Mytilus edulis: one gene and its partner. The protein of the gene in region 1 interacts with the protein of each later gene in a pairwise test. Links are inferred from orthologs where the notes say so. Each region holds a gene or a part of one and is shown on either strand. Other genes may lie near its edges. The genes, in order: 5'-3' exoribonuclease 2-like and TAR DNA-binding protein 43-like.

Region 1 (16,494 bases):
TAATTATTCTACTTTTTTATATTTTTTTTCCATAGAAAACTTTCAACATTGTAATTGCCTATGTTAAAATATACCTATTTTAATGCATAAAAACAAAAAAGCTAACTTACATTTTGTAAGTCAGTACGAAAGCAATTTTTTTTATGTATAATTGATTGATGCAACGTGATGTCATCTCTCATTCATGTTGAAATTCAAAATGTCAAGATTTTTTTTAATATTTCTGATCCTAAGTAAGAGATTCCATCTACAAAACAACTGTCAACTTATATTTTGAAAACAATGCTTTAAATGCTGCATTTGGTAAAGTTCTAAATTTCCACTATACAAACGTTGAGCAACATAATTGTGTTTAAACTTACTTTATAAATTTAAAAAAAAAATTTTTTAGCATGTAAGTGACAGTAATCGAAAAGTAATGTAATTACTTTTAATAAAGTAATCGATTGCAATCGATTACATACAAAAATCTGAGTAATCGATTATTAATCGATTACACAAAAATCCTTCATGTAATCGATTAATAATCGATTACATTTGTCAGTAATCGTGCCCATCCCTGTATAGTTGACCCATTACTAAAAGTTTAAGAAAAATAGACCAAAACACAAAAACTTAACACTGTGTAATGAACCGTGAAAATGAGGAAAAACCTGCACAACTGACATAAAGATCATAAAATATTTCCATACACCAAATATAGTTGACCTATGGCATATAGTATTAGATAAAAAGACCAAAACTCAAAAACTTAACTTTGACCACTGAACCATAAAAATGAGGTCAAGGTCACATGACATCTGCCTGCTGCACCTAACAATCATTTCATACAACAAATATAGTAGCCCTATTGCTTATAGTATCTGAGATATGGATGTGACCACCAAAACTTAACCTTGTTCACTGATCCATGAAATTAGGTCAAGGTCAAGTGAAAACTGTCTGACAGACATTAGGACCTTGCAAGGTACGCACATATCAAATATAGTTATCCTATTACTTATAATAAGAGAGAATTCAACATTACAAAAAATTTGAACTTTTTTTTTCAAGTGGTCACTGAACCATGAAAATGAGGTCAAGGACATTGGACATGTGACTGACGGAAACTTCGTAACATGAAGCATCTATATACAAAGTATGAAGCCTCCAGGTCTTCCACCTTCTAAAATATAAAGCTTTTAAGAAGTGAGCTAACGCTGCCGCCGGATCACTATCCCTATGTCGAGCTTTCTGCAACAAAAGTTGCAGGCTCGACAAAAACCAGATTAATCTTTTAACACTAAAGCCAAATATAAATATTTAACAGACAAGATTTTTGCAGTACCAGGTTGTAAGGTTTTTAGATTAATTGAATACATAAGGGTGGTCTGCAACAAACAGATTACAAGTATATATATATTAACATATGATTCAATTGGGAAGAAATCTTCATACCTATGGTGTTTGGTTTTACCAGGTTTAATTGTACACAAACACTTACTTCATCCATGTCTCTAAAGACTTCCATCCTGCAGTGTCGTGAAATATCTGTGCTGCATCTACATTTATTCTCTATAAAAAAGGTTTAAATTGATCATAATTTATGCCAATGAATATTCAACACACAATTTTAACATTTAAACATTTCTAATGATAAATGATTGATGATTTAAGTATGTTTTTGTATGTACTATATAGAATATATTCAATGTAGTGCAAATTATTTTTAAACAAAATGTTATATTTGTAGAACAAAAATACATACACAATGTATAACATATGCAAAACATTGTCTGTAAACATATTTCTTGCTTCAATTCTAGCAATATGTTAAATCAGCTTAGTCAGCCTTCATTTTTAGCACTTTTAACTAATAATTATAAGAAAGATTAATTTGAGACCACTTAAACTCTTATTTGTAAATGCAGTTGTTAACTTAACAATCTCTTACACCTCAGCACATTATGAACTATTATTATTATTTTATTTTTTCAATTTATGATGGCAATCTTATGAATTAATTATGATACTCATTATTTAGTGATTATTATAACCAAATTCAGTCATCTGTATATAATTAAATATTTCCTTATGTTTTAAGGTGTATATAGTTGCTAAAAATATACCCTTTGTGTAGTGCTCCACAATTAATGGAGGAATATACAAGAAACTGAACTGATTGCTTGGCTTTATGTTCTATCAACGATATAAAAGATTTTAGGACCACGGCAAGTTCATGTGATCTTCACCGATAAACATAGATAAAAGCAGGGAATTTTACTTACAAATGTAAGTATGTCCTGAAACCATGAAAACCATATAGATATAGATTGGTGTACAACCAAAAAGATTGAACTATTGTAATAAATAACATGACCCTTAAATAAATTTTGTAATTTATTTGTATGCTTATTATAACAACTGAATAAACACTGCATGGTGCACCTCAACACAAAGCTAACACAAAATTGCCCTTTTCACCTACAATATTCAATGAGATGTCATAAACTTTGATAATAATATTAATTTTTTTTAACAATTTAAAAAAAAAAACCCACATCAAATGATAAATATCATTAAAAATTCAACCCCAATTATCTAAAAATTATAATGAAATTTGGTTTAAGCAAACTGATCATGCTTATTGTGAGACATGTAGAAAATCAAATAGTATTTTTTTTATGTATACAACATATTGATACCTGATGAAGACATTGTTAAGACTTTAAAGGATGATCTTAGGTAAAATTAGATAAATTAAGAAATCAAAATTGATACTTTAAGCTGGAAGAGTATAAGTTAAGAATCAAAATAAGCTAAAAATATTGATAGGTCATGGAGCTCCTTTTCGAGATATTTGATTTATAAAATAAGGCAGGAAAAGGCTGAGTCTGAGTTTTTACTTTATATTTGCATCAGTATTATTTGGGTCTCAAATCAAAATAATGAAAATCAGGAATCTACTTAAATTTTGTCAAATGACTTTTTTATGAGCTACTAAGTCTTATCTTAAAAGATAAATAGGTGTTATGGGGCAATATATTTTAGCTTCTATTGTATGGAAAAACACCAAGAAGTTCGAACATTTGACACTTATTCCAAAACCTCACCTAAGTACATCCTTAAGATAAACAAATAACAAATGATACAAAACTGTATGTGTCAATCAGAAACTATGTTTTGCATCCACATCAAATTTAGATGTTCAGTGAACCTCAGAATCAGAGTAAAAAATCTAATTTGGCATATATATTTCCAAAAGTTCACATCTATAAAACATGGGTACCGGTACAAACTTTCAAGATGATAGGACCAGAACTTTATGTATACTGCATTAAACATGTTAAACAAAAACTTAACCTTATACAGGACTGACAGATAAAAAGAGGCACACACTTTAAAACATAATGCCCTCCTATGATCATAGACCAGTCATAAAGTATAAAATATACTCAAAGGTCAAAATATACATGTTAGATTGAAAGTTGAGGTAAATATTTCACCTTTTCCCCTCCAGGTGAACTACTCAGTTTTTCCACAAGTTTTTCCACATCATCATCATTTTGATGTTCATCGCCAGTTGGCATTTCTCGTTCTAAATTAGAGCGAATTCCATTCAGAATTTGATCTTTTACATCTCCATAAATTTCTGGACCAATCTTTTTACATAAAGCACCAAGTACTTCACCTTAAATAAATAATAACAAATATATCGATCATGAAAACAACATGTACATGTGTAAGATATATAGAATCATTTTCATAACACAGTTGACAAGACTATTTCAATAAAGAACTTAAAACAATTAATAGAAACAATGAATTTATATTGTATTACCGGTAATATGTATTTAACCAAGGGGATCTATTCAAATAGATTTTAGAAAAGGAGGTACATGTATGACTGCCAATGGGACAACTCTTCATCAATGTCACAATTTGTAATTAACAGCTGCGCCATGAGCGCATGATATGTCCTTTATCTTGTGTGAGAAGTGTTATGCAATAATCATAAATAGTTTCTGAAATACGGTGCAACATGTACAAAAAAACTTTTTTTACAAAAAACTCAGTAACTGTAAAAAATATTTCGAATCATCACTAACAAATATACAGATCTAAAGATTAATATAATATAGAAGTGTGTAAAGTTTAAAGCGATAGTCATTAATGGTTTGTAAGATATGATGCAACATGTGAAAACTCCCCTCTTTTTTACAAACAAGAGTGCACACACTGAAATGTCTTGCCTTCTTTACTAATCATTGATATAATGTTGATAATCCTAAATATAAAGCTTTATACAACTGTTACATAAACTTAACATTAACCTTCCTTTTGTGGTCATAAACCTTGTGTCAAAAGAAAATGCTTATTTGGGCCCTTTTTGGCCACTTATTCCTAAAATGTTGCGACCAAAACTCCCAAAATCAATCCCAACCTTCCTTTTGTGGTCATAAACCTTGTGTTAAAATTTCATAGATTTCTATTCACTTTTAATAAAGTTAGAGTGCGAAAACTAAAAGTATTCGGACGACGACCACGACGCAGACGACGACGCCAACGTGATACCAATATACGACCAAAAAATTTTCAATTTTTGCGGTCGTATAAAAATTTAACCGAGTAACTGTCAATTTAAAGAAGTGTAATTTTTGTCTGAGTGGAAGACAGTGAAGCAATGAGGTACATGTAGACAAAGGTGTTTTCTACATTCAACACAACCCTATTTTGAAACCTTTTTTCCAGTGTACAATTAGCTACATGTACCCCAGCCCAGCATATGTGACACCTTATCTTGTTTCCTAAAGTCTTCTGGTGAACGGAGTTAACCTACATTTTTTACATGTGTATGATCTGTCTTGACTAGTAGATTTCACAAAATGATATATATACAGTGTCAGACACTGCCAATACCCAATACCCATGAGAAAATTTATACCAAGAAAAAAAAGCCTTTATCTTGCAAGTAGGGACAAGACCAAGCAGATATGTTTTGGTCAGGATTTATATCTTTTTGCATATTTGCTTCTTTCAATAAACATGTACATGTAGTACAAATTATGTTTTTATGTAACCTGTTTTATCCTGCAATCAGCCTTGTATTGTACAAATAACAGGTAGACAAACAGGTTGTACAAATAAAGTCTCCTGTTACCCAACTTCCATGTTGAGCAAGTGGTAATGTGGATATTTCATTTTCCATACCAGTTCATTTTGGGGCCCTCTTCACTGTCCCCGTTTACACTATGTTGATTTCTTTGAAAAATTAGAGACCACAATTTATATTTTAATAACTAAAGCTTCAAGTGTTGGGAGTAAGTTTGAGGATAAAAACAATATAAGTACATTGTCGGAAAATATAAATTTTTTGTCCTGTTTCTAAAGCTCATACGAATAAATTTTATATTTTTCCGGCAATGTACATATATTTGTATATGAGAATAACTGCCTGTTAATTTTAGATATAATTGTCATGGCTTTTTACTTATAAGTGTGTGGCTCTGATCTGATCTGGATGTGGTTTAACATCTTAAAATTGAGATGATTATATTTACATTTACATATGATTTATAAAAACATATTTGTCAATTATCAAATCATTGCAATATTTTACTTTGCTCTTTGTGGGCCCTTTATAATTAATGTAGCACAAAACAAAGATTTTTCATCCCCAATCAGACATCTTTAAACTGATGTAATTCCACTCTCCCTTCTTTAAATTTTATAAATGAGGTTCATTTGTACCAAAAGAAAGAAGACAATGGAAGAAGGATTAATCTTTCAAAATGTGATAATTTTATTCTGACATAATTATTACATAAATTGATAATTAATTGTTATGTAATTAGTTGCTATATTGTGATGTCCATACTTGAATGAATTTAACTTATTTGTTATTCATAGCATCCCAAAATATTTTATAGATTCTTGCACAACACAGTTTGACCTCAAAAACCGTGTCTCAGATTTTTACTATTGTATTTCATTCTCTCATAAATCTTCAATGAAGTTTGCAACATCAATTCATTATAAGAGATCACTTAATTCAATAGCTAGGGTATAAAATTTGTTCTATTGATGTTGTTGGAAAACTGAGACATGGTTTTGGAGGTAAAGCTGTGTTGTACAAGAATAGTTATTACTAATACAGTTTACCAATAGTTTAGTATTTACAACATTTATTGATAGGGACGGGTCTCACTAATTAGCGACAACAAGCGTCAAGAAGCGACAAAAAGCGTCAACAAGAATTATTTTAGCGACAACAAGCGACAAGAAGACTATTTAGCGACAAGAAAACATTTTTTTTTTTATTAGATATAAAGAAATTTGTATTTAATGGGTTTTTTTAAATATACAATGTACGAGCAAATATGTCTAATTAAAATGTTTTATTATATAGATAGACGAAGAAATGAAACATTTGTGAGGAAGAAAGAGATTGTGAAGTTTATATTAGTATATTGGTAGATGAAGAAATTTAACATTTGTGAAGAAGAAAGAGATTGAGCTTCTTTTTTTTATTTTTAAATATGAAGAATATGTATAAGATAATGTATGTATCTGTTTTCATCAAAGTCAAAGTATGAATAAACGAATGGAGATATATATGGAGCGGGCATAATGGAATATAATATTTTGATTCATTTGCTTAAAGGAACAACATTAGATGTGGCTTCATTCTAAGGTAATAACAGTACACACAATGTGGAACATCAAATGAGATTAACGAGTTGCGTGTCCCCTGTTTTATTGCTACAATAACATCCAATTAACACCTTCAACCAGAGACATATATGTGTATATATGTCTCTGCTTCAACTTTGTACACGCGTCAGACTAAACAATTACACGCGCCAGAATATACAATCATTGTAAATAGTGAACACCTGTTGAAAACCTGTTGAAAACTCAAGATTGTCATTAATTCCTTTCATCTTCAATCAATATGCATAAACATGATAAATATCGTTTAATGAGGCAATACACATTTCAATTTTCTTTTCCTCCTGTTTGATTTCAGTTCTTTGTATTTCACAATTTGTGTCAATATTTTCAGGACAATGATGCACAAATAATTAATTTTGCGAGCTTAATATATATTGCACGAAAAGAGTTTTAAAAAACAAATTATAAGATAAATAATATGTTCTAAAACACAAGGAGAAGTAATCTCATAATACAATAATTAAACGTAATACTGGCTGTTATTCATAATAGATGATAAAATATTATGTAAGTAATGTTTCATTTTTTTCTATCAATTTTAACTTTCTTGTCGCTAAAATTATTTACTTTTGCATATTCTTTTAATATTTATTGCAATAATTAATTTTAATTAAAAAAAAATGTTTTCTTGTCGCTTGTTGTCGCTAAAATAATTCTTGTTGTCGCTTCTTGTCGCTTGTTGACGCTTGTTGTCGCTAAAATTCTTGTTGTCGCTAATTAGTGAGACCGGATAGGGACTGCTGATATTGATTAGTGGCTTCTTGTGGCACCTTTCCCTTTTTGTAGTCCTTTCAATTCCTGTATAGTTAAGAAGCCATACCAATGAAATACAACTTGGGACCATTATTAAATAAAGGGAAAAATGACCTTTTCGTGTTTGTTAAAAAGTTCGTTTAAAAAATATAGATAATTGATCTCATACAAGTACAAAAATGAAGTATATTATGACTCTTTACTATGCATATAAAAACTCCAGTTTAATTATTTATCGCATACATGTACATAGTGACTATTTCATGTGCATTTCAACATAAATTTCTGATAATTTTACTCAAAAATATATTGTGACTTTTTTTTTCTGCGACTTTTTTTCCTGCGACTTTTTCCGTTTACCACCTGTACACCACAAGACATTTATCACAAGTCATATGATACATTGTCACTGATTTTATGTCATGATCATACCTGCAGCAATTCTTACTCGGAATTCATTGTCATCTAGATGGTCCATGCATTTTCTTTTAATTTCAATTTCAAAATCATCTGAAACGTTTCCGTTTTCCAAAACTGCTTTTGCACCCATAAGACCTCCATGTTTAGATTCCCAAGATAATTCATTGTCATTTAGTAATTTTGACAGATCGAACTGAAGATTATAAATTCCTTCTTCGTCGAGAGATTGAAGATGAGCGACAAAATTTTGATATCCCCTGTCCCGCTCTAATTTTAAAGAACTACACAGTTCTTTCAAGATTGCATTCGACATTTTGTAAACAAAATCGTAAATATTGAGACAGACGTTTTTATTGGATATAATTCTGTGTAATGACTAATCAGAAAAGGTCTTTCTTAAAATAATTGCGGAAATATTGAAAGGTCAAGGCCGATAAATAACAAACCAGCGTGGAAATTTAAATTCAGCCGAAAAAATGGGAGTACCGGCATTTTTTCGCTGGTTAAGTAAAAAGTATCCATCAATTCTACTCCATTGTGTAGAAGAAAAGGTAATACAGATTTTCAATTTGGGTGCATTCTTTCAAAAAAATCTCCATGGGCATGGTATTTTTTGTCTGACTGGAAAAAAAACTAAATTATCTCATTTTCTCTCAATACAGAGTCGGATTCATATATGTATCTCTTAATTTCCGTACCAATTTACATTGCACAAAAAAAGCATTTTACATATTCAGGGACCCCCATTAGTCATAATTACCATTTTTAATGATGGTGCATGAATCCGGGGGAGGGGGGGGGGGGGGGGGGTGCAAGTCAAATCAGCACCCGGTCAATTCGGCACCCATAGAAAAAGTCGAATTGGCATCTGGTTAAATCAGCATCTAGTCAAATTGGCACCTATTTAAAGTCAATTTGGCATCCAATTATATTTGATATAAACTACATTTGTATATATAAACTATTCGAAAAATGTCTAAATGATCTTTCTAATTCTAATAGACATATTACACTTGTATGCAAATTTGTCCGCCATTACATATAATCACACAGGTTCCCGTAAACTTTGACATCATAATTCAACACATTTGACGTCATAACTAAAAAGTGATTGTAGCTTGATGTCAAAGGGTTATTCAGAGGTGATATAAGGTCATTCGGAGGCAAAATACATCTAAATACCAAAAGTGTAAATACGTTTATTATTCTTAGGGTTTTCTCAACATTCTATTTATGACTCGGACTGTTTTGATTAGTTTTCTTTTCAATTAATAAATTTTAAGAATAATTTCACGAATACCTATACAAAAATTACAAGTCTTTGTTGATTAACATGATTAAAGAGTCAATGTCTTGCTAGCATTATTAAAAGAGCTGTAACTCTATATATATATACAAGTAGTTATTGATGGTTTTTTTCTTCAAAAAACAATGTAGCCATTACACAAGATGTTGTTTTATCAGAAAGTCAGAAGTGATAGTGAAAACCATGAGCACTTTTCATTAGTATTACTAATTATCGAAAAATTATACACAATTCTAAGGTCGTTTTGCAGGAAAGTTTAAACAGCATGAAACCAACAATCATGCAGAATATGCTCAACTGGATGAAACATGCATAAAAAATATCTTACACTTTTAATACACTCACATTAGTTAGACCGAAAAAATGGCATACAAAAACTGCCTTAAAATGTAAATTCATCAATATTTTGGCACAACCCCTTCTTTATTTTAATCGTTTTGCTTAGAATATTGCCAACAAATATATATTAATTGATATATATAATATATATTAGACATATTTAACATGGGTGCCAAAATTACTACATCAGGTGCTGATTTAACCAGGTGCCAATTTGACTAGGTGCTGATTTGACATATATATGATATGATCTTTATAATTTTTCTGCCAAATTAAAGATTTTACCTAATTTTCATGGTCCACTGAACAGAAAATGATTGTACAGATGGGAAATCCATGTACTTATGGCACATTCTGGTTTGAAGAAAAAAAATATGTCACAACGATAATGGAACAAAGCAGGCTGGGTTAGTGGGGCTGCTGTTATGGTAATTCAAGTTACCTTTTATTCACCTTCTTCCACCTAAGCGCTATCAGCTCTTTGATTTTTTTTGTGTTGAATAATAATGGTTATCATAGTGTATTGCTATATTTTATTGTTTCATTGTTTCAGATCAAAGGGACCAAGCTGTTAAAAACAATTATCTTTTGTGTTTTTCATTTAAAATCTTCAATGTTTTACTCATACCAAGCTATAAATACATTCAGTATTTCATTTCAATTCCAATTCTTTATTTACCTTAAACAATACAGTTTAACGGTATAATATGCATAAATATACAGTTTACAAGTTGTATAGCATTAACATGCACATAAATAACAAACGTCAGAAATATCAGTTACATATTATACAGTTTGTGAGTTTCAGACTACATATAATAAACATAGGTCTTAAATATTATTCCTGCACTTAAATGCATAGAGTAAGTACTTTCCTAAATTACAGAGTTCCTTAGTGTTTTCAACAGAAAACAATTGTATTAATTTATAAGTTGATGGTCTAGTCCAATAATATTTCTTGATAAACTTTTTACGTATATCATTATAATTTGTACATTGTAAAATAAAATGAAATTCATCCTCTACTACATTTTTATCACACATAATACACATTCTACTATTTCTACTTATTCCATAAAAACGACCAGTTTCAATGCATAGATTATGTGAGGATAGGCGAATTCTCATTATCCATTTACGAGCTATTACAGGAATACATTTTTGTAAATAAAATTGTAATTCTACATTTGACACAATATACTTATATAATCTACACTTTGGTGATGTTTCAAGCATGAAATGCAACTCTTGTTTAGCTTGATCATATATTCGTTGTTTGGTTAATTGTAAAAATGAACTATCCAAACAAAGTACCCATTGGTTGTCCCAATAATAATTCATACCAAGATCATATAAAATTGTTTTAATACAAGTTGCCCAATTTTTACATTTATTGCTATTTGCTACTAGTTCTTTGTAACAAGACTTTATAATACAATTTTCACTACCGTGAATTTTAGTCCATAATTTGAGCATCCTAAAATTTCGCTCATATAACAATGGAAATCTTCCTAATTCATAATAAACCATTACATTAGAAGTGGACCTCTTGACACCTAGTAATGTTTTGCAATAGTCCAAATGAACTTTTTCTACATTTGGTGCTCTATGAACACCCCAAACTTCACAACCATACATTAAAATACTACATACATAAGTGTCAAATAAACTTATAGAAGTAACAGTGTTCAGGTATAAGGATAATGCCTTTTTCCTCATACTAAACATAGCTTTCCTGCCTTGTTCAGCACAGTGGTTTTGAGTAATATAAAATTTACAATTATAATGAAATAACACACCCAGATAACAAAAATGATCTACAATATCTAATGGTTTACCATTATAAATCCATGTCTCAGTAAGACTAATTTTCCCACCTTTACGAAAAACTACTATCTTTGTTTTTTTTGTGTTAACTGAAAGACCCCATTTCTCAGTATAACCAGATAAAGTATTTAACATATTTTGTAAGCCTTGGATTGATTCTGACATCAAAATCATATCATCAGCATACATTAATAAAAAAAGTGTTATGTCCTGAAATTCAAGTCCACAGTTACCATTATTAATAAATTCATTCTCAAAGTCATTGACATAAAATGAAAATAAAATAGGGGAAAGAACTTCCCCTTGCATTAAGCCAAGATTATTAGAAAAGTATTTTGAATTAAACCCATCAAATCTAATACAAGATCTTACATTGTTATACATTGATTTTAAAATATTAAGCAATTTGCCTCTGATTCCTAATTTAGAAATCTTGTACCACAAACATAGACGATCAACTGTATCAAACGCTTTTAAAAAGTCAACAAAGCAACAATATAATCTATTACCTTTACAAAAAGAATTTTGTATGACAGAATATAAACAAAACACAGCATCTACTGTACTGTAACCATTACGAAAACCAAATTGTGCATCAGATAAAATATCGTTCATTGATGCCCATTTTAATAATCTACTATTCAAAATAGTAGTGAATAGTTTACCTAGATTGCTGACTAGACTTATACCACGGTAATTTGCTGGGTCGTTCGCATCCCCGGATTTAAAAACTGGCACTAGAATAGCATCAGACCAAGTGGACGGAAAATATCCAGAGCTCAAAACGGCATTGAAAATAGTACATATATAAGGCAGCACAAGGTCCTTAAACTCAATGAAAAATTCGTTTAACAAACCATCTGGACCATTGCTTTTCTCGCGTTTTAAGTCATGTATAGCTTTAATAAGTTCATCAATGGTTATATCCATATCCAGTTCTTCAAAAATACACACATTATCTGGCATTTCTGGTCTTCTGTTGTGCTCTTTACTATCAGATACTAGAGTTTTGAAATATATAAAAAAATCAGTTACTGTTAGATCACAGTTGACCTTTCTCCTTTTTTTGAATACAGAATAAAATTTCTTAGGATTGTTCTTCCTTAATTTACAAAGGGTATCACCTTCTTGTCGCATATATATACGTCTACGTTTACGTTCATAGTCTTTATATGTCTTCTTCACACGATTTAATTCAATATGGTTTTTCTTTGATTTATTTCCATTAAATATAGATAAAGTTTTGCAGTAATTAACATAAAGTTCTTTACACTGTATATCAAACCAAGGCTTATCAATATGCTTATAGTGCTGCTTATGATTTCGTTTCATTTCAGTACCACTTTTCTGACTTTGTTGAAAAAATGGCGCCATAATGTCAATGAACTGATGGGTAAAATCGTTCACACATGAATCCATTTCATCCTGAGACTCGGCTTCTATATTCTGGAGTGTCGACTTTATATTGTCAGAGTTTATTAAAAGTGCATTACGACACATATCCTTATATTCCTCAGTATTTACACCAAAGCAATTTAAAACAACAATCATGGTTTTCTAATTATTCAACTTAATTTTCAAATTAATTGCATTATCTAAATATGTTTCAGCGATTGCTTATATAAAAATGATAAATTTAGAATTAAAAAATAATTTAAACCCAGTTACAACGAAAAAAATTGAGAAGGCAAACACATGCTTTATTATTGACTTAGACCACTGGCATCAGTCTTTTTAAACGAGTTCAAAATAAGACATAAAGAGAATATAATTTCATGCCAACAACATGAGTACATCAATTATCGATAATATTGAATTACTTAACAAGTTTAAAAGTAAATTCATGGAGTATTAACTGCAGCTGAGGATAATTCTTTGTGTAATTCAGAATTTATTTTGTAGTTTACAATAAATTTGATACATCTGTTTTTCCAGTTTACATTCAGAATTGAAAGATGTCTGTTAAGACTTTTGCAAATGCGAGACATAGCTATCCTACATTTCTTTAGTGTTGGGGTAATCCACAAATATTATTATACCCCCGCTTTAAAAAAAGGGGGGTATACTGTTTTACCTCTGTCTGTCAGTCCGTCAGTCCGTCCGTCAGTCAGTCCGTCCCATGAAACTTTCGTCACATTTTTCTCAGGAACTACACATCCACCCTTTCTGTAATTTGGTATCAACATTTATATATGTCAGCCATACCGTGTGATGCGTTTTCAGATTCATCACTTGACAACTTCCTGTTTACTGAACACTTGTCTGATTTTACACATGATAGCCAAGTTGAAAATTTTCGTCACATTTTTCTCAGGAACTACAATACAAGGATTTCTGAAATTTGGTTTCAGGATTTATATAAGTCAGCTATACCGTGTGATGCGTTTTCAGATTCATCACTCGACAACTTCCTGTTTACTGAACACTTGCATATTTTTACACTATTAATATTATCCACTTGCGGCAGGGGTATCATCAGTGAGCAGTAGCTCGCAGTTTCACTTGTTATTTCTGTGTTTAAAGTTTTTGAAATTTTAATAACTTTCTTAAACTATCATTGATTTGTACCAAACTTGGATAGAAGCTTGTTTAAGATCACAAGCTTGCATCTAGAAGGATATTTGGTACAAATTTATTTCATTTTTTTCTGTATGACCTATGGAGACATACATGTAGTTGCTGACCTTCAACATCATTTGTGGTAAAGGGTTGTTTCATTTACTATCATACCAGATCTTCTATTATTGATATAAACCTTGCAACTGGATAGTCAATGTTATAGCTTGAATTCTACTATAATACATGTAATTAGAAAGTTATTCTTTATTATTATCATTTAAGCCAAAAGAAGTTGGAGATGAAACAATTCCTGTGGACACGAGTCAACCTAACCCCAATGATTATGAGTTTGACAATTTGTACCTGGATATGAATGGTATTATCCATCCATGTTGTCACCCAGAAGACAAGTAAGTACATTGTAATGTTTCAAAAACTGTAGCAGTCAGCTGTGTAAGAGAATGCATATTTAGAATTTAGAACTGTATACAATATAAATATCAGGTTTTGATATGAATAAAAAGAGATGTAGGCATGGTATGTAGATGTAGAGACAGGAAACCAAAGATACAAAAAACAAAAATCGTGAGAGATCAAATTTCACAATCATCAGATTCACAGCAGTTACAAATATGAAAAATCAACTAATTTTATGTTGTTAACCATTATTTATTTGTTATACAAATATGAATAGCATACACATGTATGTAGATTTATATTATAGCACAGTAAGCTTTTTATTATCATAAATATAATTAGATGAACACTTATCACTACCAAATACATAAATGTACCATGTTAATTTGGTATAAACTTTGATGAAAGTATATCAATATGGCTCTCTTTTTCAGACCAGCTCCAAAGAATGAAAATGAAATGATGGTTCTGATTTTTGAATACATTGATAGAATATTCTCCATTGTAAGACCTAGGAAGGTGTTATATATGGCAATAGATGGAGTTGTAAGTTGAAATAATTCAGTTTATAAATTATTACCTTTTCTTCTGAATACTTTAGTTTTAGATTGATTATTTAAATTGTTTCTTTTATTTGAAAGACTGCATTGGTTTGCCTCCCCTTAACTAGTTTGACCAATAATTAATTGAAGGTTTTATAATTCATGTACTGATGCAGTTAAGAGTTTATGACATGTCACTTCAGGCACCTAGAGCTAAGATGAATCAGCAGAGATCTAGAAGATTTAGAGCCTCCAAAGAAATCACAGAAAAAATAGAAGAAATGGCCAGATTGAGGGACGAACTTACTCAGAAAGGTTGTGATTTACCACCAGAGAAAGAAAAAGGAGAACATTTTGACAGTAACTGTATAACACCTGTAAGGGATGTTACTTATTTCAAATATCTAAAAAAAGAATGAAATAATAGATATTCTGAAGTATTTTTTTTATTTTGTTTTCATGATGTCTTAAAGTGACATTCATCATCTACTAGTTTTCATTTTGATAAACTTTTTTTATCTGAAGACCTAGGGAAGTAATAATCTAAAATAAATACTGATTTCATGAACCTACTAAATGAAGTGCAATTGGTATAATAGTTTGAAAGACGTTGAACTATGCATCTGTGATTTTCAATTTGGGTTATTGTTCATGAAGGATGTATGTCAATCAGATATTTACAAGAATTAATTAAAGTTTGGCTTTTGAAGGATTTTGGAAGTCTCCTCTCATCCTCCCACATTCGTTCAGTGGAATAGACCTTAGACAATAATGATACAAAAAACATCAAACAATCAAATATTTTCAAATTAAAAAAAATAATAAAAAAGTCAATTGTATTGAAGTAGTTTTCAGACTATTTGGATTAAGACCTCAAACAATGAAAATAGAGATTGCAACATAATGGAAGGCAAAGATTGAATGTTTGTTCTGTCAGATGACATTTGTTTCCTAAAAAATTATAGTGAAATAGAGTTGTAAAAGATAAAATGTCTATTATAGGGAACACCATTCATGTTCAGATTAGCAGACTGTTTAAGATATTACATTCATGACAGAGTAAATACTGATCCAGGATGGCAAAACATTAAAGTTATATTATCTGATGCTAATGTACCCGGAGAAGGAGAACATAAAATTATGGACTACATCAGAAGACAGAGAGGTAAGCAAAAATTTATGGTTACACATTTTGAAACAATGGAAATAATCTTTGTATAAAAATCATTCCACATAATATAAACATATTACATTAAAAAACATAAAACTGATGGACTTGGACATTAAAAGCAGGCACTACTGTGAATTCATTATTATGCGTTGGATACCAATTTTTGTGGATTTTGTGGGTACAGGGAAACCATGATTTTAAGTGTTCAAGGACATACAAATTTTCCATATAAATATATTTTGACTAAAAGAAAACCAGGAAATTTAATATCCAGGAAAAAGGAGGTTTTTCTAAATCCACAAAAATAAATGATACCACAGTATCTTCAATCTTATCTAATATGTCTAATATGATAAATTGGGAGATAGAACAAATTATATGGAGTTAATGTATATAAAAGTAAATGAATGTGAATTACTAGAACTTAGAAGATATCTAGTATATCA
Region 2 (15,975 bases), on another chromosome or scaffold:
TATAACAACCATGACTCTTTCTAAAATTCAACAGGTGTAACAGCGGGTGGTTTACAAATCAAATTTCGGTCTTCATAAATTGAAACTACCTTAGATAAACTATGATGGTACAGTTCCTCGGACTATTAATGCAACAAAATAACCACAAGAGGAACATATTGGTAATTTCCAATTTTGACCACGAGTAATTAAGGGAGCTAATTAAAGAATTTCGGTCAAAATTTAATTGTACCATCCATAAAAGTTTCGTTTTCTCTATCGTTTACAGTGAAACCGGTGCATTGCACTTGCGCACATTACCATTACATTTTGCGAGAAAAAAAATTAGCATGTTTGCGCACAGCTTTTTATTACATTTGCGCGCATTCTTTCAGAGGTTAACTCTGGTAAATAAGGTAGATTATAATTATTTATTAATTTAAATAATACTAGAACACACCCGCGAAATCGCGGGCATATATAGCTTGTAAACTGTTGTAGAATGAATTTTTGTAAACGATATGATGTCTGGAGAATTTCATATAAGATATTAAAAGCCCTCCGTCCTTTTTTCAAAAGTCCGTTATTTGTTCCCTTTCTGTTTAATTCAATTATTTTCGTGTTTCTGGCCTTATACCACAATTATTCCTCCCCTTTGCTACAATGCATTTTTTGGTAAAAGTCAAATTAAATTAAAAATTTGCACCGCTTCAAACATGAAATAAATGAAACTGCTTATAGACCATTATTATTGTATTAAAATATGCTTCTAGGACAATTTATCAGTGCTTCTCCTTTTGAGAGCCATATCAACATGCCAATGGTAGGATTTGAATCTTGCATACATGACTAAGGCTAATTTGAGGGGTGGTCGGAGGGGCCCTGATCCCAAGATCCCGGGCTTAAAAACATGAAACCCCGCGGTGCGTATTTTAACGAAATTCATATCCCGGCATCCGGAAATTCGGAAAAATATTCCCGGATCCCGTAAGGATCAATCCCGAAATCCCGATCCCGATGTCCCGAAAAAGTCCCGCCTCCCTCTAATCTCTACCCTATTTTCATTTTGGCCAAATTACTACTTTCACTTTCAACAATAATTTTGTATGCCCCATTTATGGGCATTATGTTTTCTAGTCTGTGCGTCCGTTCGTTCGTTCGTCCGTCCGTCCGGCTGTCCCTTTTCAGGTTAAAGTTTTGTCGAAGTAGTTTTTGATGAAGTTGAAGTCCAATCAACTCGAAACTTAGTAAATATGTTTCCTATGATATGATCTTTCACGGTCCACTGAACATAGAAAATGATAGTGCCGATGTTGCATCCGTATACTATGAACACATTCTTGTGTCACACATGTTTAACTTAGGCAGCAACCATTTGATTTTCGGGGGGGGGGGGGGGGGGGGTATGGATATTTTTTGGAAAAAAACGTTTGTTTCTAGTTTTTGGAGAAAAAAATAATCTGTTTTTGACCCTGAGAAAAAAATTGTTTTGTCCGAAAAAAAAATTCCATAGCTGTCCCCCGCCCCCCCCCCCCCCCCCCCAGAAAATCAAATGGTTGCTGCCCCTTATTCAATATATAATTAAGCAACTGGTATGACCCCTTAGATAATAAATATCTAAAAGAAAACAGTAGACAAAATACAGAGAGTCTCTAAATACTATAGTAGTATAATCGCAGTTTACATGTGGATAAACGCGAAAAATAATTGTCTCTAAAGAGGTATAATAGTTGTGTTTCTTGCGACCTTAAAACCATGATATGGAGAACGCTCTGATTGGCTTATTTATTTTTCATTTTTGTAATCTGTATGTACGATTGGTTGTTTTTGTGTATGTTCTTAAAGTCTTTTCCATGACTAAAAGTCAGTCTGATGACGGAAACCGTCAATATCCGGAAACCTATTTTGTCGTTTTTCTCCCAAAATAACTCAATCTGAATAATCATAAGAATGAATGACAAATGCGACTATACATGTTACCTATAGAACACAGAGTTATGGTGATTAATTTATTGTGGAAGGAAGAGAAGCGATACACAAAATAAGGTCTTCTCGTTTAATAGTATAGATTATGAAGTGCCTGTCATAGATAAATCCATGCAAAGTCATCCAGAACCAAGGTTACACGATCTTCTTCATATTCTGTTACAAGGAATGTTTAGTCATGTAATGATTTCAGAAGGAAAAAAAAACAAAAAGTTCAAGGATTTACATTATGAAGGCAGGGCTGTTACTAAAAATAGAAATAGATAAAAGGTTAAAAATACGCTATGTTTGATAAAATAGGTCTCTTATATCCATTAAATGAACATTTTGTAGGCATTCTAGTACGATTTTATCAAAATTATGAACCAATATGGTACTTATGATTCAGAGATGGGTCCGATTACTTTCAATGTAATTGATTAAATTACAATTACTTTGTCATTTGTACGATTAAATTAAATCAATGATTACATCATTTCTGTAAGTATCCGATTAAATTAATGATTACATTTGCAAAGTAATCATGATTACATCTGATTACAATGAATTAAAAAAACATTTTGAATGAGGTTAATGAATTATAACTTAAAATTTCATCTATTTAATAAATCTCAAAAGTTCACTACATACACTGACATATATACACGAAAATTGTGTCACTGGTCATATTGGTTATGACTAATTACACTTTATCATCATTGATCTCTGAATTATGTCGACTTAAATTAAATAAAGGTTTATAAAGAGTTAGCTGTTTGTTTACTTTCCTCTTCCAGACTTTATATGTATTTCAAGATGAGTTTATGGAAGTTAAAATATAGATGAAATAAAGCTACCAAGTCAAAATTTTAATATGATTATTTAGTCAAATTGTAAACAAATTATGAGTACTAAAAATCATTGCATTTTTCATGTCCAGTCCAAATACATACTAACATCTATTATAGATGTATAGATATATAGGTGAAAGACCAGAAGAAAGACTTTGCAAATTTTGCACTGCAGACGTGTCAGAAACTGAAACTCATTTTTTACTAGACTGTACATTCTATTCTGATATACGAGAACATGTTTTTGGTGAACTTTTGTTAACGACTTCCTTTGTTTCTATGAACATTAATGAAAAACTTATTTTTTTAAATATTAGCCATACTCGAAAACTAGCCAAATACATTGTACAGGCATATTCTAATAGACGAAATTTTGTTTACAAATAGCTTAATATCTATATATTTTTATTTTAAAATTAATTAAAGGTTAACTTTCGTCAACAAAAAGATAATTTCATGAATTATAATTTGTTATTTTGAAGAACGTGATATATTGTTTTAAAATTACTTAATTTCATTTGAGGTGACTTACAGGTCCATTGGGCCGGGTGTATTAATATTTATCATATATTGTATATTTATAATCTGTACATATTTACACATGTCACTATAATAAATAATTTACTTACTTACTTACTTACTTACTTACTTACTCTATTTATTTTAAACAACATTTTAATTTGGTTTGTGCTAATTAGATAAATTTCCAAATGTATAATTATCTTTTATCATATATATTGCCCTACAGCTATACACAATAGAGTTGATAATTGCAATAAAAACAAACCTTAATTGATCTCCTACCTGTCAATTCAAAGTTGACAAAAATCACAATATTTACAAAAGATTATAATTCAGGGTTAATGAAAAATATCACTTGAATATAACAATAACTATCAAATGTATTTATGTACATCTTTAAATTGTGAATATATGTACAATATCTTGTATTAGGGTCAGAGACATATATGTTTCTGCTAAGGCTAATGATGACTTTTCAACACTGCGAGAGCTTAGTTTTTACTGAATTATACAAATCAATTAACATGCTTAAAGAAGACAAAACTATTTCAACATGTTAAATAATCATTTAATTTGAATACCTACAAGGTTAATTTATCAAACACAGTTTTAGATTTTTTGCATTGTAATCAGAATGTAATCAAAAAGTAATCAGGATTACAGGGTATTTTGAAAAGTAATTGATTAAATTAAATTACATGTAATCAGATTTAGGGCTGATTAATGATTACAATGATTACTTGAAAAATTGTAATCAATAACAGCTGATTAATGATTACAATTACAATTACCCCAACTCTGTTATGATTATGCTATTGTTGACCTCTCAAATTTACTTAAAGTTAAAGTGCAGAAAGGTCACCAAAAGGTCAAATTTAAAAAAAAAATGCAAAAATTCAGTATTTCAAAGTTTTCCCAGGAATAGCGAGGATATTTATTTCAAATTTTGTCTTTTAACTATTTTTTTTAGCTTTATTTACAAAATATGAAGAAGAAAAAAATGTCTCCATGAATTTTATTCATCTTTCAACGTGCAGACAGATGTACTTCTATGTTAAATCTTGCATGCCCATTATTTTGTATCAATTCGCGTTGTTTTCCTTTTTTGTTCCTCTTAATTATGTCCCAGTCACACTAAACCACGATCGCACCACGTTCACCGCGATCAAAAATAAATTCAGATCGTAGTGAGGTCGCGGTATGAGCGGCATGAAAATGTAGATTTTCGTTGTTTTCACGATGCTACTTCGTCCTCATTACGCTTCTTCAACGAGCCCGATACGATTATACCCCGTTCTACATGTTCTAACCATGTTCATTCTGCGACCTCACTACGATTATCACGATCTTACTACGCTCATCACGTTCTCACAGCGACCATACCACGATTTATCCGATTATAACATGATCTTACCACGCTTCTTCTGCGATTATATTACGCTCTTACCACGATCATTCTACGATCTTACCACGTTCATACCGCGATCCAACTACGCTATTAGCAATATGTTCCATATAAATACTGTTCCATTCCTTCCAATTGTCATTAATACGTAAAATTATTGAAAACCACACGAGCATGCCACCAACATCTACAAGGAGTAGTGGGCGTGGTGGTAGGGGTAGTGGTGGAGTCAAAGGGGCCTCTCATACGAACCATGATCCAATAGAGATGTCGGATCAACCAATCGAGACCTGAATCACAACGTATTGCTGATCCATCATTCAAGATCAAATGACGATATTGTATTGAACATTAGTGGGAATGATACAGATGTGTCAAGAATGATTGAATGAGCTGTTGAAAATTAGAGACATAAGGTCCAAATTACATAACAGACAAACAAAACATGGATAGCTGTTATATAGTTTAAGTGAAAATGACTATGAGCATGGCTAGAACTGGAAACGTTCGTAGTATGAACGTAGTCAGGTCGTAAGACGAGCATTGCGGATGAGGACGGCATGAGCGTGCTAAAACCGTACTATGGTCTTGAACAGCGTAGTATATACGTGGTATAGTCGTAGTAGTAGTATATGCGTGGTATAGTCGTAGTAGTAGAAGCGTTGTTGGGTCGCGGGGAGAACTTGATGGTCGTATTGAGGTCGTCGTCACATCGCTGTGAGATCGTAGCGCAATCATCTCTCTGATTAGAATCGCGCTTTCGCTACGCTCCCATCACGATGGTACAGCGACCATTGCGATCTTACTACCACCTTACTGCGCTCTCGCTACGCTTCTACTACAACCCGATTTCACCACGATTGTTTTGAACATGTTCAAAGTTGGCCACGATCATCACGATCATAAAGAGGATAAAGACCTCACCATGACCGTAACACGACCTTACTGCGATCTACATTATCGCACTACGATCGTCAAAATTTGCATTTTTTAGAGATCGTAGTGCGATCGTGGCTAAAGCTAGGTTCTCATTGGCAATCATACCACATCTTCTTTTTTTATATTTACAAATTTATATCTATATGACACTACTGGTCTAACGTCAAAGTACTCAAGTGCATCGAGTACACTTATTGCACCTAGTCAACAAAAAATAGCTGCGGAAATCCTACATTTGTCTAACAGTTCAGTTCAGTTCAGTTGCTTGTATATTCCTTCATTAATTGTGGAGCACTACCCAAAAGGTATAGTTTTAGCAACTATGTACACCTTAAAACATAAGGAAACATTTAATTATATACAGATGACTGAATTTGGTTATAATAATCACTAAATAATAAATATCATAATTAATTCATAGGGTTGTCATCATAAAGTTTAAAAAAAATATATTAAATTCATATGTGCTGGGGTGTAAGAAAACGTTAAGTAACAACTGCATATATTTACAAATAAGAATTAAAATGGTCTCGTATTAAACTTACTTATAATTATTAGTTAAGAGTGCTATACATATATCAGGATCTATAATGAAAATGTCATTTTATAAGATTTATGTAAAATGGTTGGGGTTTGGAAAAAATTAAAGCTATAATATATACATAAATTTTCTTCCCAGTTTGATTTACTATATGGAGATCTTATCATTATTTTTGAAATTATAACTGATATCTTGCAATTTTTAAAAAGAGAAGATATATTTTTAAATACTTATAAGTCATAATTTATTTATCCAAATAAAGCTTCAGGACCAGACAATCTAAAACCAAGAATACTAAAAGAACTTGCAACCGAGATAGCCCAAATTCTAACTATCATCTTTACAACATCACTTTAATACTGGGGAGGTACCATCTGACTGGAAGAACGCCAACGTAAGTCCAGTCTTCAAGAAAGGAGAGAGATACAAGGCAGAGAATTATCGACCAATATCTCTGACATGCATCTGCTATAAACTCATGGAACACATAATAACTAGTCATATTATGAAACATGCAGATATCCACAACATTCTTTATCCATTACAACACGGATTTCGTAGCAAAAGATCATGCGAAACCAAGCTGATTGAATTTGTGGATGACATCACAAAAAACATGAGCGCATGAAAGCAAACGGATGTTCTCATTATGGACTTTTCGAAAGCCTTTGATAAGGTTGGTCACAGTCTCCTGATGCATTAGCTGGAACACTATGGTATCCGAGGAAATGTAAATAAGTGGATCACTAGTTTCCTGTCTAATAGAACCCAAGTAGACAGTAGTTGTGGATGGAGAAAGTTCATCTCGTATTGATGTAGAGTCAGGAGTACCCCAAGGCTCAGTACTTGGGCCTTCATTATTCCTGGTCTACATTAACGACATGGCAGATGGAATTAAATCTACAGTCCGACTATTTGCAGAAAACACAATAGCATACCTCACGATATCATCAGACAAAGATGCACATGATTTACAGCTAGATCTGGACAAACTTGGAACATGGGAATCAAAATGGAAAATGTCATTCCACCCTGACAAATGCAATGTACTTACCATCAGCAGGAAAAACAACACAATTGCAACTTCATACAGCCTACATGGTCAAATTATTGAGTCAGTCAGTAGTGCAAAATACCTAGGCTGCACATTTACCATGTTTACATCCGATCTCAGATGGAATGAACATGTGAATAACATTTGAAACAAGGCAAATCATGCCAAGAAATCCTCGCTAAAAATTCCGGTCGACCCCCTACGGCAGTCATTAGTAGCTAAAGATTTGATTTCATTCAAGAAATTAATGTATAACCTTCATGTACGTGTCGCTAAGAACATGGCCATATACCAAATGGTCAAAATTAATCATCCATGTAATTTGCTCTATGGGGTGTTTGCAGAATTTCAACGGAGGCGCGAACAATTGGTTTCCTAAAAAGAAATTTAAATATAGGATCAACTACAGTGAAGGAGAATGCATATAAAACATTGGTACGTCCAATTGTAGAATATGCCAGTCCGGTATGGGATCCATATATCTCAAGACAGAGACTGACAGACTTGAGATGGTACAAAGAAGAGCAGCTCGCTACGTATCCAACAAACATCATAACCACTCCAGCGTTAATCTGATGCTACAACATCTCAAATGGACATCACTTGAACAAAGAAGGAAAGAAGCGAGACTCACAATGCTATTCAAAATAGAAAACAACAAAGTGGCCATATCAAAGGAAGGTCGTCTAATACCACTGAAAAGACTATCACGAAACATGCATGACAAATCCTTCCAAGTACCAGCAGCATCATGTGATTATAGGAAACACTCATTCTTCCGAAGAACCATCCGGGATTGGAACGCTCTTCCCCCTGGGGTCGTATCAGCTCCGTCAGTCGAGGCCTTTAAAGCCTCGATGACAAAGCTGAATTAAATTTCAAAATTTTTGGGGGAGGGGTGGTCTAATATGCGCACCAAACCATGGCAGTATAATCAGTTCGTTAAATGTGGCCATTATCTGACAGAAGCAGAAGCAGAAGCAGAAGTCATAAAATATTAAGATGATATACTATAAGTAAGGAACTATTTTATTTTAAAAAATTTACTTATACTGTACTTGTGATCAAGTTTTTTTTAATCCTTTTTGTGCGCAGCAAGTGCATCTCATAACACATATTTCTAGCCAGAGTTTCAATGTTTTCATAACAAGTTTTCTTTGAGAGAAACAGTTTGTATTTTTTATGATTTGACATTATGCATGTACACGTCTTTAACCATAGGTACATACATTTTTACATACATGTATATGTAAATATACACAAAATGTTCACAGTATATATGTACACTACAGTATCAACAGATGAAGCATTTACTGGAAAATGCGATGTTCACAAAGTCATCTTTTAAGAATGAGCAAATACAATATTTTCCAAGCATCTATTTCCAGAAAAATAAATATTAAGCCTGGACTAATGTCAAATTGTTCTAAATATATGAAGAAAAATGACAAAACATCTTTTATTCGATTTTAATTGGTGTGAATTTAAGCATGGATGCAATTTAGGTACTCTAGATCTTCGTCACAGAATCATTGATCGCTTATGTTGTAGGTCGATTCAAACTAGTTTTGCTACGATTCAATATCTCGAGTTCAATATATCATATCAGGAACATATAGATATACTGTTCCCAGATCATATATATATATTATTTTTACACCTTATACATTATGTATCAGTATTGTTAAAACTTGTGACACTTGAAGAAGGCCATTTGTTGAGCCGAAATATTTGTCAGCACGATTTAATAACAACATTTTCGTATTATAACATCTTATATCAGTACGGTTGTGCAAATCTTTAGACTGATATATATATATCATGTACTGTAGTACGCCGCTAGATTAAAACTGACGTGGAAAGGTAACACATGCCCACCGAAAGCTCTTTTTTTTGAGAGCCCAGGTGGTCGTGTGGTCTAGCGGGACGGCTGCAGTGCAGGCGATTTGGTGTCACGATATCACAGTAGCATGGGTTCGAATCCCGGCGAGGGAAGAACCAAAAATTTGCGAAAGCAAATTTACAGATCTAACATTGTTGGGTTGATGTTTAGACGAGTTGTATATATATATATATATATAGATTCAAAATTTAAACATGTTATTAAAATGGTGACTGGTGTAATATAAAGTAAATAAGGATATGTCTACCAAATAATAATAATAATAAAAAATCAGATTGGAAACTTTTTTGTGGACTTTAAATAAAAAAATGTAGGTGCAAAAATGTCAAAATAAGGTGCAATTTGAGTACCCTAATGTAATCTAGTATCATAAAGAGTTCAATGAGGTTTTACATTTAAACTCTGTAAAATCAATTAAGTACTAATTAAATAGCAAATAACTTATATCTCAATGAAAAGACTTATATGCAAGAAAAATTAAAATCGACTGTCCAATAAGAAATTAAAACAGGACGCAAACCAAAAGAATTTGTATTGGATATGCGCATGTTTATGCCATACCCTCCCCCTATTCACTGATTTGCAAGAACAAAGCATTACTGTCAATATCTTTTATGTTATTAAAAATGTTAACCACAAATTGTCAACATCTGCACTAATCAAGTATTCATTAAAAGATCTGAAAGTCACAGATTGAGAAGGAATCTTTAGATAGAACTATAGAAAAATTTCTAAAAGATTCCAGCGACAACCGATTGAAGATAAAAGAACGACAACTCTAAAATGAAAATTAAATTTTTTAGGTCACTAAAAGATGGCGCTAGTATCGCTTAAATTGTCAACAGAAGACGCCATCTTGGTACGCCGCGCACCTTCAGTTCGGGACCACAGTGGGTTACCCCAAAATTAGAGACATTTTTGATTCTCAATGCTCCGAAAGTGTGTCTAATTTATAAGGGAAATGAGTCAGTATATTCAAGTCGCAGAGGAGGAGGGCGAAGAGCCTATGGAAGTCCCGAGCGAAGACGACGGAACTCTCTTGCTGTCTACCCTGTCAGCTCAGTTTCCTGGTGCCTGTGGTTTAAAATACAGAAATCCCGATACCGGTGCTATGCGAGGCATAAGACTTTCAGACGGGAGATTATATCCACCTGATACGGAATGGGCAAACCGGATTTATGTTGCCGTGTTTCCTAAATGTAAGTGTTTTCAAATATTGTTTACAAACTGGAACCCAGTTGGCCTCCGAACATCAAGCAGACGCTTCGACAAAATCATTTAATTTTTCGAATTTTTCACAGAATTTTGATTAGTTAAGTATGCAGTATGATGCAGTAATCATTATTGTACATAACTGCATAGGTATTTTTGGCTACAGTATCAATTTATATGCTACTTTTAATAAAATATTGAAGGTCGTTGAAAACTTTGTGTTTGACAGCTAAGGGAGATAACCGTATTGTTGACGTTTTGCTTTTAAATATTTCAGTCTATATCTCTGTGGGATTTTTGTTTCTGGTCTATTTATTTATTCAATATTTTGATATGAATACTTCCTGAGCTAACTTAGTATAAAGGTGACTCCAGAATCCCTTATTTTAGTTAAGCTTTAAAATCATAACATGACAACATAACATCATGAACATATTGAAGACACTTAAAAAAGTAATTTAAGAAGTAAAAAGTTACACACTCATGTAAATGTTGAAATATCTGTATTTAATTTAGGTTAAAGGCAGATATTTAGTGTTAACATGTACATGTAGCTGCTTCTTAGAAGTGTACACTTTTACATCATAATTTCTTGACAGTTTATTCATCATTATTTAAACACTGCAAAAGTTGCTTTCAATACACACAAGGTCACTGGTGCATACCATGTATACATTTATATTTTAATAATTTATATTCAGGTATGAAGGTGGATATTAGAGTGGGTCTCATTGGGGTCTAAGCGTGACCCGGGATTGCCGATTTTTTGTAAGCGTGACACGTGAAAGTCAAATAATTGTGGCGTGAAAACGGGAAATTAGGTCTTGCGGGACACGGGAAATGACAAAAAAATGAGAATTGCTTATGTACATAGTGTAAGCGGGATACGGGAATCTGACAAAACAGTAAGCGGGATCCGGGATCGGAACCCCCCAATGAGACCCCCATTAGACTGCAGATTATTATATCAGAAATGTGTCTTGACCATGTTGACTGCCACTAGTTATTATAGATTATATTTTATAATTATTATTATATACTACATGTACAATGTACATAACAAATGTATAATAAATTTTAATACTGTTTTGTGGGTTCGAGATGTTGAATTTTCAGTACATTAGTAGGGTGATTTTTACCCTCCCACACACATCTCTGGTATCCATTCCAGACCGGAGTTTAAACTAGATTGGATACTTGGGGGGGGGGGGCCTCGGTAGGTCAAAGTTGTTCCCAGCTTGACCTGGAGATCAATCTTCTGAAATCTCTTCAGGTTGTCTGTTGCTGCAGAGAAGCCCTGTGGTTCTCTCCAAATACTTCAGCTTCCTCCACCATAATAACAGACTTTTAGGTGACCTACAAGCTCCCTTGGGTGGTGTTGGGGTGGAGATTGTTCTGGTGGTGGGTTAATAATGTAATCTAAAAGGACACATCTCCATTAATCCTTAGGGAGTGTACATGGATCCGCTGTACCCTTGTAGTCATTCAAGGGGTGCGTCTACACTGGCGGAATCTCGAAGTACATATATACATGTACATGTTATTACCAGATAATTAGAGATATGATTATAGTAGAAAAAGATTTAAAGAATATGATACACATGTATATTAACATGATTTATATAAACAACATTTCAGTGTATATGTTTCGAATATGTTACAAAAACAATGTAGCTTATAGTTTTGTCATATTTTAACATGTGTAAGGTGATAAAAGCATTGATCCTCATTTTATTATTATACAAAAGTCTTGTTATTTGTAAAAATCTAATCACTGTTCAAATTTTGCATTTTCCTGAAAAACTAAGATGTCTCCACAGTCTTTACACCTAACCACTGGCCCAGCAGCCTAGGCTTGTTAAGTTGCATTTGGGTCTTTAAAAATGATCTCTGACTACAGGCCAACTAAACCGATATAAAGTTTTAAAAAGATTGAACTTTGAAGTGTTTGACATGACTGAGATCAATGCAGAGACTCAGAGGTTACTGTATTTTTCTGCCATGTCAATTCTCTGTGACATGGCCGGGATTATTATGCTCTATGTACAATGTATGCAAATAGTAACTGCAACACTTTTCATAGATATCTGTAGGGGTAATGTTTCAAGGTAAAATTGCAAGTAAATATTTTCATGTATTTTCAGCTGAAAACAAAAAGAAACCTCATGCAACAGCTGTGGACCAGGAACCAATCAATGCAGACAATGCTGTCATTAACAGGAAGAAAATGTATGACAAAAAGAGATGCAGTGACCTTATTGTCCTAGGATTACCATGGAAAAGTACAGAAGAAGACCTGAGAAAATATTTTTCAAATTTTGGGGAACTGTTAATGGTCCAGGTTTGTACATTAAGTGTTTAAAACTTATATTCAGAACAGAATACTAGTTAGGTTTTCCTGTCAATTATAAACAATTATCTTAATGTATATTACATGTATGATTGCAGCTTTTTGTGTCTAGCAAGTGAATGAATGATGTGATGGAGAACATTTTTTGTTAAATGAATCGTAAATTAAAGGACCAATTGATGACAGCATCGAGAACAAACACAGCTGATCTCAAGCATTTAATCCTTATATTTGTACATGTACATGTCGCAAATATGAAATTACAAATTAAACCAATCTGCAGGTTTCACTTTGCATACTAACAAATGTATACATTTGTAGATCTTCTAAAATAATCAAGTGTAAAAGTTTAAGGTAGCACAATACAAAGATTTTATAACTCCAACTCCCAAGTTTCAAAATGCTGTAACTTTCTTAATAATGCTTGAAAATTTATAAAAGTGGTAGTTTTGGATAGCTAACAGATTACTCTTTCAAATTAATGCAATGTTAGTATCATGCAACAATTATGTAACCAATTATAATGTTAACTGTGTCTTAAATATTTTTCACCAAATTTCCACTTTCAAATGAAATTAGCTTCTGCATAGGTATCCCTAGAGGGTTGATTTTATTATATGTTGTTCCTATGGCCATTATCTACAAAAGGGTGTCTCAGATTTCAGATAGAATGTATAGAACAAATTTTACACCTACTTAAACATTATCTTCATTTATGTGGTTAGGATGTTTACACTAATTAGAGATTTATGAGAGAATGGAATACCATAGAGACAATCTGAGACACCCTTTTGAAGCCCATGATGTGTTGATTAAGATTTCGTTAAAATTTTCTGTATAGTTAAAGAGATGATAGAGCTAAATTCATTCAAGTGAACTTACCCAGATTTTGCCACTAATTACATAATAATTGATGACATAATGATTGCATAATAAAAATATTGCATTCATTTAAAAGATTAATCTTTTATCTATCTATGTATACCTCTTTTATTATTTTCTATGCATTCATAAGAAAGTTACAGCATTTCAAAGGTTAGTGATTGGAAGTAAAAAAATCTTTGTATTGTGCTACCTTAATTCAGGATAAAATAATATACAGATATATACATTGTATGTCATGTACATGTATGTTTATTGTCTGAAAATATTAAAAATTGTACACTAGCTACATTGTATAAAACAACAGAAACGCTTGGAGAGCTTTGTTTTTCGTTCCGTTCCTTGTATATTTACATGCTAGTAGGACAAACTTTACTATATTTGATAAATAACATGTTCTGTATAGATTTTATTATTTAATTATATTATTACCGGTATGAGCATAATGAGAGATTATACTTGTGTTTATGATATCAAAACATTAAAAAGCATGAACAAGTTATTCCGTGAAAGTTAAGTTTTGTAGTACATGTATCATAGTATGTACACATGAATACCATTATTGACTTGTCTAGTAAAACATCTTTTTGGTTATGTCAAAAAGTTTGATGCAGTTGAGTTCATTTCCACAATGATAAAGCTTCTTTGAACAAGGGAGATAATAGAGTTATTGTAACAAGGGAGATAACTCTTGATCTTTCTGTGTTTTTAAAGCATTAGAAATCTGTCATATATTCCTCTTCAGGCGGCAGACAGCAAAAAACTTACACTGTATAACGGTACTTAAATTTCCAAAATATTTAGACATTTATGTGTATGTGGAACATAACAGATGCAAATAATGTGTAAGCTTCCCCCTAAAACAGAAATCAAAATTCATTATATATTTTACAATTCATTGTATTAATCTATCTATATTTTATTTTCAATTCAGGTGAAGAAAGATCCTAAAAGTGGACTATCTAAAGGTTTTGGTTTCATTCGGTTTGGCGACTATGAATCCCAAGTTAAATGTATGACACAGAGGCACATGATTGATGGAAGATGGTGTGATGTTAGAATACCAAACTCTAAGGTAACACATACATGCACTGACACTGGTGTGATGTTAGAATACCAAACTCTAAGGTAACACATACATGCACTGACACTGGTGTGATGTTACATGTAGAATACCAAACTCTAAGGTAACACATACATGCACTGACACTGGTGTGATGTTAGAATACCAAACTGTAAGGTAACACATACATGCACTGACACTGGTGTGATGTTAGAATACCAAACTCCAAGGTAACACATACATGCACTTACACTGGTGTGATGGTTCTGTGCTTATTTCTAGGAATGATAAAGTTTAATAATGGCATGCTGTGAGTTAAATATGTGGAAATGTATATCTAAATACTGGTGTTTTAATCAAGATATATTTAATCAACAAATATTAATTCTATTGAAATTGGTCACGTCTATTTCAGTTGGTTTTGTTTGATAACTTGATAACTATATCTAAGTAACCATCTGTAACAAAATCCAAACTAAGAATTCAACATAAATAATGTATCAATAAAGCATTTAGAACTTTATTTGTTTACTTGTAGTGTTCATATAAAAAAAAAAAGGAAAAACTTGATTGCGTCAAGAAATTTCCTACTTTGTATTAATTTGGAAAATCTTTATTATCTCCCTTTAACAACATGTAAGAAAAAAATGCTACTATCATATAAAATTTATTCAATGTAGATTTTCATTTGAAATTTGAAAAATTAAAGGACTGTGCTTACATTGCACATCAGAAGTCTTCTTGCGAAAAGTTATCTGACTTATTTCATCTGCAAATACTATTCGGAAGACAGCAAATTTTGAGCACTTTTTGTAAGAATTTTAAAGTCCAAGGTACAATGTAGAACCAAAACAATTAGAGAATCTGATTCCTGATAGGTTTTGTGAAAAATAGTTTATTGCAGAGTACTCTGATAATAAAATGCATTCATATTAGCCTGATTAGATAAATTAATAGTCATGATATTATTAAGAAAGAATGGCCAACACTAGTAGCATGAAAATAACACAGGATTCATCTTTTACATGCATATGACAGTTGCTGAACTGAGATAGCTACACTTTAATGAAAAACGTTGTTTTCAAGCTAGTGATTTTAAATCTATTTATAATGACACTAAATGCAACAAATCTTCTGGGAAGGGGAGGTAATATTTTTTTTTTTAAATATTGGTATTTAAAATGTAGATGATTTTGTTAAGGGTTCATTTAGGGCAAACTGTTGTTGTTATGATACTATTTTGATTTGATTTGTCTGTTTGCTGTTCACTTTGTGAAAGTTGTTGTGTTTTATTTCTAAAGTAAGAAGT

What was found.
Region 2: the proteins of 5'-3' exoribonuclease 2-like (region 1) and TAR DNA-binding protein 43-like interact in binary tests that used the Homo sapiens proteins (3 or more experiments, as listed by UniProt). The link is inferred for Mytilus edulis from reciprocal best matches to the Homo sapiens genes XRN2 and TARDBP.

Annotation. Positions count from the first base shown.
Region 1 is NC_092346.1:72,923,412-72,939,905, reverse strand, and holds the start of 5'-3' exoribonuclease 2-like, read left to right. Parts: upstream 1-8,278; 5' UTR 8,279-8,363; coding exon 8,364-8,438; intron 8,439-14,200; coding exon 14,201-14,328; intron 14,329-14,769; coding exon 14,770-14,881; intron 14,882-15,080; coding exon 15,081-15,254; intron 15,255-15,879; coding exon 15,880-16,042; intron 16,043-16,494. Other genes in the region: uncharacterized protein, read right to left, coding at 1,484-1,554, 3,486-3,670, 7,900-8,200. UniProt on the Homo sapiens protein: Possesses 5'->3' exoribonuclease activity. May promote the termination of transcription by RNA polymerase II.
Region 2 is NC_092356.1:48,442,543-48,458,517, reverse strand, and holds the start of TAR DNA-binding protein 43-like, read left to right. Parts: upstream 1-9,965; 5' UTR 9,966-10,120; coding exon 10,121-10,358; intron 10,359-12,515; coding exon 12,516-12,712; intron 12,713-14,537; coding exon 14,538-14,678; intron 14,679-15,975. Other genes in the region: uncharacterized protein, read left to right, coding at 7,724-8,131. UniProt on the Homo sapiens protein: RNA-binding protein that is involved in various steps of RNA biogenesis and processing.